Linked DNA regions of Schizosaccharomyces pombe. The gene in region 1 interacts genetically with each later gene. Each region holds a gene or a part of one and is shown on either strand. Other genes may lie near its edges. The genes, in order: cdc28 and cka1.

Region 1 (6,140 bases):
TCCAACAACAGTGAAGCTTCGATTCCTTCAACCACACCACAATCACCTTCAGTGGTTTCCAATGGTGAAAACAAACCTTCTTCCTCTCCTGTTTTCTTCAACGGTCCTGTTTCATCGGAGAAGGAACCCATCTTAGATAACTTTAATGTTTTTAAAAACGTTGGAGAAGAACACCAAGGAGCGGAGCAGATTGATAAGCCTTTTTCATGTCCCCCGACTTGGAACACGGGACCCAACTCCCTACAGCAAACCATTGCAAATTCAAGACCTGAAGGAAATTCTGGTTCTGCAAAGAAGGCAGCAGCTGCGAATCCCATGATTCCTAGTATTGTTTTACCCAATAGTGCTATGCCTTCTGCAATGCCAATGTATCCTACTCCTACAATGCCATATATACCAGTGGGATATCCTGTGCCGGGCTATACTCCTTACATGAGAAACCCTAGTCAGCATACCTCTGTAGCTCCTTCACCTAACGGAACACCGACTTCTGGAAATTCTAGCACAGTAGGTTCGCCAATGATAGGCTACATGGCTCCCCAATTCATTCCGCCTTACGCAATGCCACAGTTTCCTCCTTCTGGTAACGGTAGGGGCGCTTCAGCTCCTGCAACTTATTTTGTTCCCCAAATGGGAGGCATGATGGCATACACAATGAATGGCGTTCCTCCTATGTATGGCCAGTATGCTCCTAATAATGGCATGATGAATATGCATTATCCTATGTATGGTGATTCAAGAAGGAGCAATTCTCAACGATCTTTCAATTCATCTAACGGGAAGCGATCGAATGTACATAAGAATAACAACGCTTCTAACACCTTCTCTCATTCTAATGCCTCTACTTCCTCGTCTCTTAATGCTGCTCCTAATACAACTGCAAAGTCTTCATCTCAAACGGCGCCTCCCGTTTCTAAAGGTGATGCTACAGAGAAAACAGAGAAAGATGCATCAGCTAACCAAGAAGCGAAGCCTTAATTTGTTTATATTTAAGGTTGACTTGAAGACCATGTAATATCTAAATCGCAAATCTTGTATGGATGTATGAATATTCTATGAGATGAAATGAAGGCGGTAAGAATCATGATTTTGTGAGTTGGTTTAGTTGGTTGTTTCAATTCAAGTGCTGAACTTACATTTGAGAAGTTACAACTTATTCTTTTTCGATTACATTAACCTATGATAATAAAACTTACGACTTAAAGAAACATTTATTGAATGCGGATTGTTAGTCTTCTGCTATAAAAAAAAACATTAGCCAGTTAAGTATATATGCCTACCGTAGCAACTCCAAACCACTTATTGTCATTCAAATGGGCAAGTACATAATATACAGTTTTAGTAGATGATTCTTCATAAGAAAAGTAATGGATGTCCTTTGACCCACTTGATTGCTCAATTGCATGAATTACTTTTTTGTACTTCTGATGGGGATCAAAGGTCTTTGCATCAATCTCTTCAAATTCGTCAGGGATATTGTCAATGCATATTGGGTGAAATTTTTCATCTGATTCACTGACAAAGTATTCATCCTTAACTTTCCCAGCTAAAGTTTTAAATGAGGGATCCTCCAACATATTCTTTGAGCTTCTCAGCCATTTTGAAGGAAGTTGGGAAGAGTCGCCCGAATAAGAAGGAACAGGTTTGTTAGCTGTTTCCAGAAATGCTGCATAAGCTTCGTCTGACATTTTGTGAGAAGAACGAACAAGTGTAGGCAAAGCCGTGTGTCGTACAACGAATCGAGGCAAATGCCTATTGATAAACAATCTTCTAACTGTGAATCCTATTTTGTATAATTATTTAATATATAATTAAAAAACAAAAATATGTTAAAGAATAAGTGTTAATCAACTTTAGGTCAACGTCAGCGAAACCAATCTTCGAGCAAATATAACGAAAAACACGTTATGTAAATTACCGTAACTCAAAGAATCCAATATATACTAAACGATGCATAATGTGTAGTTTACAACTGTTTTAAACTTATGTATCGCAACGCGTTTAGCAAATTTAACTGAAAATTAACTATCTTCCAAATGAAGATTTTATGAAAATTTTGAAAGGGTTTATATTCAAAAATAGCTTCATTGCTTTTTGGTGATATTATTCTGGTTGCGCCTACAAAATGTCTTTAGAGCAATATGTGTCTGACAAAGCGATTTCGCTACTGGGAATGTCGGAACCTTCCGTGGTAGAATACCTAATTGCAGAAGCGAAGGGCTCTTCAAGTTCTAATAACCTGTATCAGAAACTCGTCAGTTTTGGTATGGATGGTGATGATCCTGCGGTTAAAGAATTTGCTCATACGCTTTATGCTAGAATACCCAGAGAAGGCTCAAGACCGAAAGAAAACTACAATGCAAGAAAGAAAAAAGAACAGGGGATTTTACAAATGGAGCGTTTGAATTCAAGTTATGATTTGTTGATAGAACCTCAATCTCATGAGACGCCTGGGAAGCCTTTGAAGAAAAAAAGCCGTTCTAAAACTCCTAAGCGAGAAATAGCCAGGAGACAACGAGATGAGGATGAGTGGGAGAGTGACGAGTATGAGGAGGTAGTGGATGGAAGTGCTAGTCATCCTATAGAAGAAGATTCAGTTTCTACCGATTTTCAAAATCATGATTATGAAAAAAGCTCAGATCCTGAGACAGAAAGACTCAATGATTTACGTGAAAGAGAAGAATTTGAAGAGCGTCTTAGACGTAAAGACCTTGAAGCCGCAACAAATGAATTTGTGGAGGATTATTCATCCAAATTTTCTTCGGAAGAGCTAGCTCTTAGAAAACTAGCAGATGATCCTGAATCATGGAGAAAACTTGCTTCTGAACTTCGAAAAAAATCGCGGCAACAATATCTTAAACCTAGGGCTCAGCAACAGTTGGAAATCCTTCGCAGAGAAATTCGAGATGAGGAGCAACTTTTTGCAGGCGAGAAGTTGACGCAAGCAGAAATTAGAGAGCTTGAAAAGAAAAAAGAACTACTTCGAATTGCTGAAGAACGTCAGAGATTGGAAAAACAAGCCACTGAATATCAAATGCCTGAAGACTATTTTACAGAGCAAGGAAAATTGGACAGAAAACGAAAAGAGGAGGTCTTATATCAAAGGTATAAGGATAGTAATGAAGGTGAGCAAAACGAGGTTACGATGGGAGCTGCCGAACAACAGCGGTGGGAGGCTCAACAAATAAATAAAGCATTACTTTTTGATCAAAACGAATGGCTTCCTCCAGGAGAGAAGCAATTTGATTTCGTATTTGACGAATCGCAACAGATTGATTTTTTACTCGATACTAAGCTTTCTGCGGAGAATCCTGTTGACACTGACAAGATGACTGATGTTAAAGTTGAAAAATCATTAGAAAGTTCTCGCAAAAGTTTACCTGTTTATCAATACAAGGACGATCTTTTGAAGGCAATAAATGAGTACCAAGTGTTGCTTATTGTGGCTGAGACCGGATCTGGTAAAACAACTCAACTTCCTCAATTTCTGCACGAAGCTGGTTATACTAAAGGAAATAAGAAAATTTGCTGCACCCAACCAAGAAGAGTTGCTGCAATGTCTGTTGCTGCTAGGGTTGCCAAGGAAATGGATGTACGGCTTGGACAGGAAGTTGGGTACAGCATTCGTTTTGAAAATGCTACTTCTGAAAAAACTGTCATAAAATACTTGACTGATGGCATGCTTCTCAGAGAATTTTTAACAGAACCTGACCTGGCAAGCTATTCTGTCATTATTATAGATGAAGCCCATGAAAGAACGCTTCATACAGACATTTTATTTGGACTTGTAAAGGATATTGCTAGATTTCGTCCAGATTTAAAGGTTCTAATTTCGAGTGCTACTATAGATGCCGAAAAATTTTCGGCTTACTTTGATGAAGCTCCAGTGTTCTATGTTCCTGGCAGAAGATATCCAGTCGATATTTATTACACCCCGCAACCTGAAGCAAATTATATACAAGCGGCTATTACAACCATTCTTCAAATACATACTACCCAGCCTGCTGGTGATATTTTAGTTTTTTTAACGGGCCAAGATGAAATTGAATTAATGTCCGAAAACATGCAAGAACTTTGTCGGATACTAGGAAAAAGAATTCCGGAAATAATTTTATGTCCGATTTATGCCAATCTGCCTTCTGAATTGCAAGCTAAAATTTTTGATCCTACACCCCCTGGTGCCCGCAAAGTTGTATTAGCAACCAATATTGCTGAAACTTCTATAACAATTGACGGAGTGAATTTTGTGATTGATTCTGGATTTGTCAAACAAAACATGTATAATCCAAGGACTGGTATGGAAAGCTTAGTATCTGTGCCTTGCTCCCGTGCTTCTGCTGATCAGCGTGCCGGCCGTGCTGGTCGAGTAGGACCTGGAAAGTGCTTCCGTTTATATACGCGTCGGACATATAACAATGAACTGGATATGGTAACATCTCCTGAAATTCAAAGAACAAATTTGACAAATATTGTTCTCTTGCTTAAATCCCTAGGAATTAATAATCTTTTAGATTTCGACTTCATGGATGCTCCACCACCTGAAACGTTGATGCGTTCATTAGAGTTATTGTATGCGCTTGGTGCCTTAAACAATAGAGGAGAATTGACTAAGCTCGGCAGGCAGATGGCAGAGTTTCCTACAGATCCTATGCTTTCTAAATCTTTGATTGCATCTTCAAAGTATGGATGTGTTGAAGAAGTGTTATCAATTGTTTCTATGTTAGGGGAGGCTTCCTCTTTATTCTATAGACCAAAAGACAAAATAATGGAAGCGGATAAAGCTAGAGCGAACTTTACCCAACCTGGTGGTGATCATTTAACTCTTCTTCATATTTGGAATGAATGGGTAGATACTGACTTTTCGTACAATTGGGCCCGTGAAAACTTTTTACAGTATAAGAGTTTATGTCGAGCTCGAGATGTTCGTGATCAACTTGCCAATCTCTGTGAACGGGTGGAAATTGAATTGGTAACTAATTCTTCAGAGTCCCTTGATCCTATTAAGAAAGCTATCACAGCTGGTTATTTTTCTAATGCTGCACGCTTGGATCGTAGTGGGGATTCTTATCGCACTGTTAAAAGTAATCAAACCGTTTATATTCACCCTAGTTCTTCTGTAGCTGAGAAAAAGCCAAAAGTCATCATTTACTTTGAATTGGTTTTGACAACTAAGGAGTATTGCAGACAAATTACTGAAATACAACCCGAGTGGCTCTTGGAAATAAGCCCCCATTATTTCAAGCCAGAAAATATAGAAGAATTGCAAAAGACGCAAAAACGACATAAGCGGTAAAAGAGTGGAAAAGGAAAATTAGTTTTAAAGGCGATTTGGTTGTATATAATCATAATGAATTTATGTTTCACAATAATGGACAAACTTTTAAAAGATCTCATTTAGTTAGCTTCAAAAAGACGTACAGTTTTGTTTAAGTCATCATGTTGTATATTAATTACTTTTAATACTAAAAAACATTTTATCGTTTTTGAAAAGGCCCGAAATGCTCATGACTTTTCAAGCTTAACAAATCCAAGCAAAAAATCTAATGCAGGTAGGTCTTTTGTAACCCTCACTAAACGATTACCGAGTGTTGCATGCTCGGTTACATTCAATGCTTAGTACAAAAAGATTACGGGTCCTGGAGCTATATTCTGGTATTGGAGGTATGCACTATGCATTGAACCTGGCAAATATACCGGCTGATATTGTGTGTGCAATAGATATCAACCCACAGGCAAATGAAATTTATAACCTCAATCATGGAAAACTTGCTAAACACGTATGTTTCAAGGATTTACTCGATAACTATATTAATACTTATAGATGGATATTTCAACTTTAACGGCCAAGGATTTTGATGCATTTGACTGTAAATTATGGACTATGAGTCCCAGTTGTCAACCTTTTACTAGAATAGGAAACCGTAAAGATATTCTTGATCCTCGTTCCCAAGCATTTCTAAATATTTTAAATGTGCTTCCTCATGTAAATAATTTGCCTGAGTACATTCTAATTGAGAATGTTCAGGGTTTTGAGGAGAGCAAGGCAGCTGAAGAGTGCAGGAAAGTTTTGAGGAATTGTGGTTACAACCTAATTGAAGGTATTTTGAGTCCAAACCAGTTCAACATTCCTAATTCTCGCA
Region 2 (4,700 bases), on another chromosome or scaffold:
TAAACTCATCGTAGGCTTAAACGTCGAGTGTTTACTCAATGAACACTTCTTAATTTTAAGCGATAGTTTGAAAATTACAATTTCCCAGCCGCGTGTTATTGTATTATTAAGATTATGTGTAAAGCCTGAAGATCACGATTTCCTATTATTTACTGCTAGTCTGTCACGCTAATACAGCATACTTATATGTACAAGTCTGAACAAACCTACCACTGACTTCAAGAGTGAAAGGATAGGTTTATTGCAGTTCATATGAAATCGGGATTCTAAGCAAAAGCTTATGTCTATTCGAATACATACTAATAACCAAACTATTACAAAAATTTTTGCATGAATATCTATTACTATTACAGGCCATTTCTACACCATTCCTTGAGAAAAGAAAGTAGCCATCTTTATTATATTAATAAAAAAAAATAGAAGAATAAATGTCTTTAGTATGTTATGAGAGTTCGAGCTCCGGAGAAGACGATGACGAGACAATATCTGATAATCCCCGAATGTTAAAAGTCCCTAAGCTCCAAGAATCATTTCACGAACTTTATAAGAGTAAGAAGGTTTTAATGTTTTGATAACTCATATTCTTAGAAAAGCCAAAAACTTTTGATAGTCCTGAGTTTCATGAGGGTCGAATTCGTGGACAAAAGCATATTGAAGGATTGTGGTTTGTTCAAACATATTTGGAGGGTAATAAATCAATTTTTATTTAACAAAAAGTTGACAATTATCAATAGTGGATTTGAGCAAGAAAGTTAAAAAAGGCATTCGTGAGTTTTTGAATTCACAAAGTCGGTTTCAATCGCTTCTTTGCTCTGAGCATAATGTACCAAGAAGATTACATTTAAGCATATCTGAAAACTACCGCATAAATTATTCCACTAAGAACCAATTAGTGCACAAATGGGAACAATATACAAACAATTTGAATTACAGGTATACTCAGGACAAATAATCCATACTGTTGAGACTGACATATTAAAAAAGAACTTTAAAATTTCGACTGGGAAAGATGTGTCTACTATTTAATGACGAAAAAACAAGAATGTTCCTAGCTTTCGAATGTAAATTCAGTGACGAAAACTACAAAGACTTAATAAGTCATGCTAGTGACTGTATGAAAGAGTTTACAAATAGGAATTTGAGAGAGGTAAGTAAAGGTTCAAATAAGCGACAATTTTAACGCCTTCCAGGACTTTTTACTTCACATATCCTTTGCTTCATCGTTGACAAATGAAGACGAATATCAAAATTGGGTCAGTCAAGACAGAGAGTCCCATTTTTTTAAAACGATGAATGAAATTATTAATACAAAGATTCAAAAAGATCAATTTTCTGAAAGTTTTATCGTTGATAGCTTAAAGTTGTCAATTGGACATCTAATATTTACCTTTCCATTTTGTAAATAATTTATTAATTGGGGCGATAATAATATTATTACAATACTCGTTTACGAAAGAATATGCTCAGCTTCAAATCAATTGGTCTTAGGAACACAAAAAGTGATCATTAGCAATTGCATTCAGTTTTGTTACAAAGCATGCGGACTAAAACGTATGAAGGAAGAATAATTTCAAAAAAATTCCTTATTAGAAGCTTTAGTATACTCATTTTCGTCTTCTGTGATCGGATTTTGATTGCAACGTTTATCAGTTTTTTGTTACATTTCTTCTCACTAGAAAACAATATCATAACTATATTTTCACTTGTTTGGTTTATAAACTTAAGCCATATAGCGCATTAACTTGTTTATATTGCTATATTGCTTGTAACGGAGCTTAAAACACTTTGTTAATTTTCACTAAGCACTCTCTTTGCACTTGCATACACAAGACCTGCCCTTCACCAGCTAGCTTGCTAAACAAATTTTTTGGGTTCCGTTTCATATAAAGGATTTTGCATTAACATAGAGGGAGCACTCTAAGAAAAAAAAACGTGAAAGCTGAAAGGTGCTACTTACAATGAACCAGACTGAAGCGGCTCCAGTCGTCTCAGTTTCCCGGGTTTGTACGTATTGTGAAGTTCAAATTTATAAAAAAAGGATAACAAATGACTAATTAGATTTAGATGCTCATGTTAATGAGGAGATGCCCCGTGAATACTGGGACTACGAGAACATGCAGGAGGTATTTGGATATCAGGACAATTATGAAATTATTCGGAAAGTAGGAAGAGGAAAATATAGTGAAGTTTTCGAAGGATTAAATGTCTTGAACAACAGCAAATGCATCATCAAAGTCCTAAAGCCTGTAAAGTACAAGAAAATCAAGCGTGAAATAAAGATTCTACAGAACTTGGCCGGAGGTCCTAACATTATCTCACTGCTTGACATTGTCCGCGATCCAGAGGTAAGAATAAAAAAAAAAAGCTTTTTGTATTGAATCGTCTTGAAACTTGAAGGAGAAGAAATTTTGTGCTTTTCCGTCTATTGAGTTTATACGACTCTGGCTTTTGAACGTTTGATATCCATCAAACTATTGTATTTGTCGATACTAATATTTTATAGAGTAAAACACCATCTTTAATTTTTGAATTTGTTGACAATATTGATTTCCGTACATTGTACCCTACTCTTTCTGATTATGATATTCGTTATTACTCTTACGAGTTGCTAAAAGCTTTGGATTTCTGTCATTCTCGTGGTATAATGCATCGTGACGTTAAGCCTCATAATGTTATGATCGATCACAAAAAAAGGAAGTTACGGCTAATTGATTGGGGTCTGGCCGAGTTTTATCATGCTGGCATGGAATACAATGTTCGTGTAGCCAGTAGATACTTTAAGGGTCCAGAACTGTTAGTAGATTTTCGAGAATATGGTAAGTTGCATCCACTTTTGTTAAATATATTTACGTTTCTTTTTTCCTAACCAAACTTTAGATTACTCCTTGGATATTTGGTCGTTTGGTGTCATGTTTGCTGCTTTGATATTTAAAAAAGATACTTTTTTCCGTGGGCGGGACAATTATGATCAGCTAGTTAAAATTGCCAAAGTTCTGGGAACTGATGAACTTTTCGCTTACGTACAAAAATACCAGATTGTGCTGGACCGACAATACGATAATATTCTTGGTCAGTATCCCAAGCGGGACTGGTATTCTTTTGTCAACCGTGACAACAGATCGCTTGCCAATGATGAAGCAATCGATCTGTTAAATCGTTTATTACGTTATGATCATCAAGTAAGTTACCGAACCTGAAGGTTTTTACAGGATCTTATACAATCACTTATTTTTTTAAGTGGTATATACTGTATAGTTACTAACTTAGCATAGGAGCGTTTAACTTGTCAAGAAGCTATGGCCCATCCGTACTTTCAAGTACTCAAATAAGAACTGAGGGAAGGGACTATAACTCAATTATCTCTACGGACAGCCTTTTCATTACTAGTTCCCTTCATTTTCATAAAAATGAACCAAATCCAATTCTAGTTTTAATTCTGGTTCATGTTTTATTATTCTTTTCTTATTATTAGACTTGAGTATTCCTCTTCATTTACGTCGGTGATAATTTAAGCTAATATTTCTTGCCCAAACGTTATCATCTCCCACACGATTCCTCGAAACGGTTCTTGCATAAGTACATCCTACTATAATATTGCTTTCACGTGGCGGAGCCTTCCCACTACTTTTTCCCCGTACCTACTCGTTAGACACTTGGTCTACATAGTGTCTGTGTCTATTGCTTTCCCTTACTCAAATTAGAGTTTTTTTTATTTTTAAATGCTATCGGGCTTACTAAACAGGTTCCAATTCTATAGTTTTCTTTAATACTTTAAACGAGTTTTTACCTCTTTAGGTACCTAACAGCTTTATTAATAGTAAGTAACTCTGCGTATTATGCATAATGAATGCAATCTAAAGAAGCGATGGAAATGAATATGCGATATTTCATGAATGAAAAGTAAAGCCTTAATTAGAGAGCAACCTTACAAAACCTCTTATTCTGTAGCGTTAATCTTGCGCAGCTGCTCATCCTGAACTTGTTGAAGTTCAATGCTCAAAACAATTGCCTTTTGTAAATTCATTTTACTGTATTTAACACATATTAGAATTCATCATATTAAAAAAAATGATAATGTCATAAACTAGGGATGAACTTACAGGAATTCGCATTTATTCAACACTGATTCCAAATGAAACAGTATTTGCTTTTGAACCTCAGTCAGCATGCCAAAATTTGCACCAAAATCTAATTCAAAAGAATGTGTTGTGATCTTTGAATTCGGAAAAAACAACTTTACTTATCTTACTTGGTAAAGTATATTGTTTAACCAGGCAAATTTGTTAAAAAAGGAGTAGTTTACCTCTCGCTTTATGCGTATTTATGGTAAAACAAGTATAAAACACTATAACGCGGTAGCTCAATCTCTCGCTTTTAGAAAATACTTTACGCTACGATCCAAATAAATGGGTTAACTTGTGTATCGTCTACCAAAACAACACCTAAAACAGCGTGTTTTATCATTGCATTGCAACTAAGGTGAGTTTCTTTCTTCCTCTCTTGCTTTTTCATCCTTGAATGTAAATAAAATTCAATCAAGCTGAATATAAATTTAATAACAGACCACATTTGTGTACTACGTTTGTTAGTATCTCCAACATGTTACGAAGAAATCCTACGGCAATACAAATTACTGCTGAAGATGTTCTTGCATATGACGAAGAAAAGCTAAGACAAACGCTTGATTCCGAGTCAACAAC

The links.
Region 2: mutations in cdc28 (region 1) and cka1 impair growth when combined (synthetic growth defect), as found in Schizosaccharomyces pombe (one study listed by BioGRID).

Annotation. Positions count from the first base shown.
Region 1 is NC_003423.3:1,668,457-1,674,596, forward strand, and holds cdc28 (ATP-dependent RNA helicase Cdc28), read left to right. Parts: upstream 1-1,968; 5' UTR 1,969-2,125; coding exon 2,126-5,293; 3' UTR 5,294-5,369; downstream 5,370-6,140. Other genes in the region: ath1 (ataxin-2-like protein), read left to right, coding at 1-978; SPOM_SPBC21B10.02 (uncharacterized protein), read right to left, coding at 1,263-1,688; pmt1 (DNA methyltransferase), read left to right, coding at 5,610-5,777, 5,822-6,140. UniProt on the Schizosaccharomyces pombe protein: Involved in pre-mRNA splicing. Is required together with ATP and at least one other factor, for the first cleavage-ligation reaction.
Region 2 is NC_003424.3:2,150,196-2,154,895, forward strand, and holds cka1 (serine/threonine protein kinase Cka1), read left to right. Parts: upstream 1-1,841; 5' UTR 1,842-1,958; coding exon 1,959-2,004; exon of another isoform or gene 2,005-2,064; coding exon 2,065-2,345; exon of another isoform or gene 2,346-2,348; intron 2,349-2,503; coding exon 2,504-2,816; intron 2,817-2,877; coding exon 2,878-3,179; intron 3,180-3,272; coding exon 3,273-3,329; 3' UTR 3,330-4,028; downstream 4,029-4,700. Other genes in the region: 3'-5'-RNA exonuclease Mpn1, read left to right, coding at 429-549, 589-687, 735-933, 985-1,147, 1,191-1,406; hcn1 (anaphase-promoting complex TPR lobe accessory factor subunit Hcn1/Apc12), read left to right, coding at 4,600-4,700. UniProt on the Schizosaccharomyces pombe protein: Catalytic subunit of a constitutively active serine/threonine-protein kinase complex that phosphorylates a large number of substrates containing acidic residues C-terminal to the phosphorylated serine or threonine.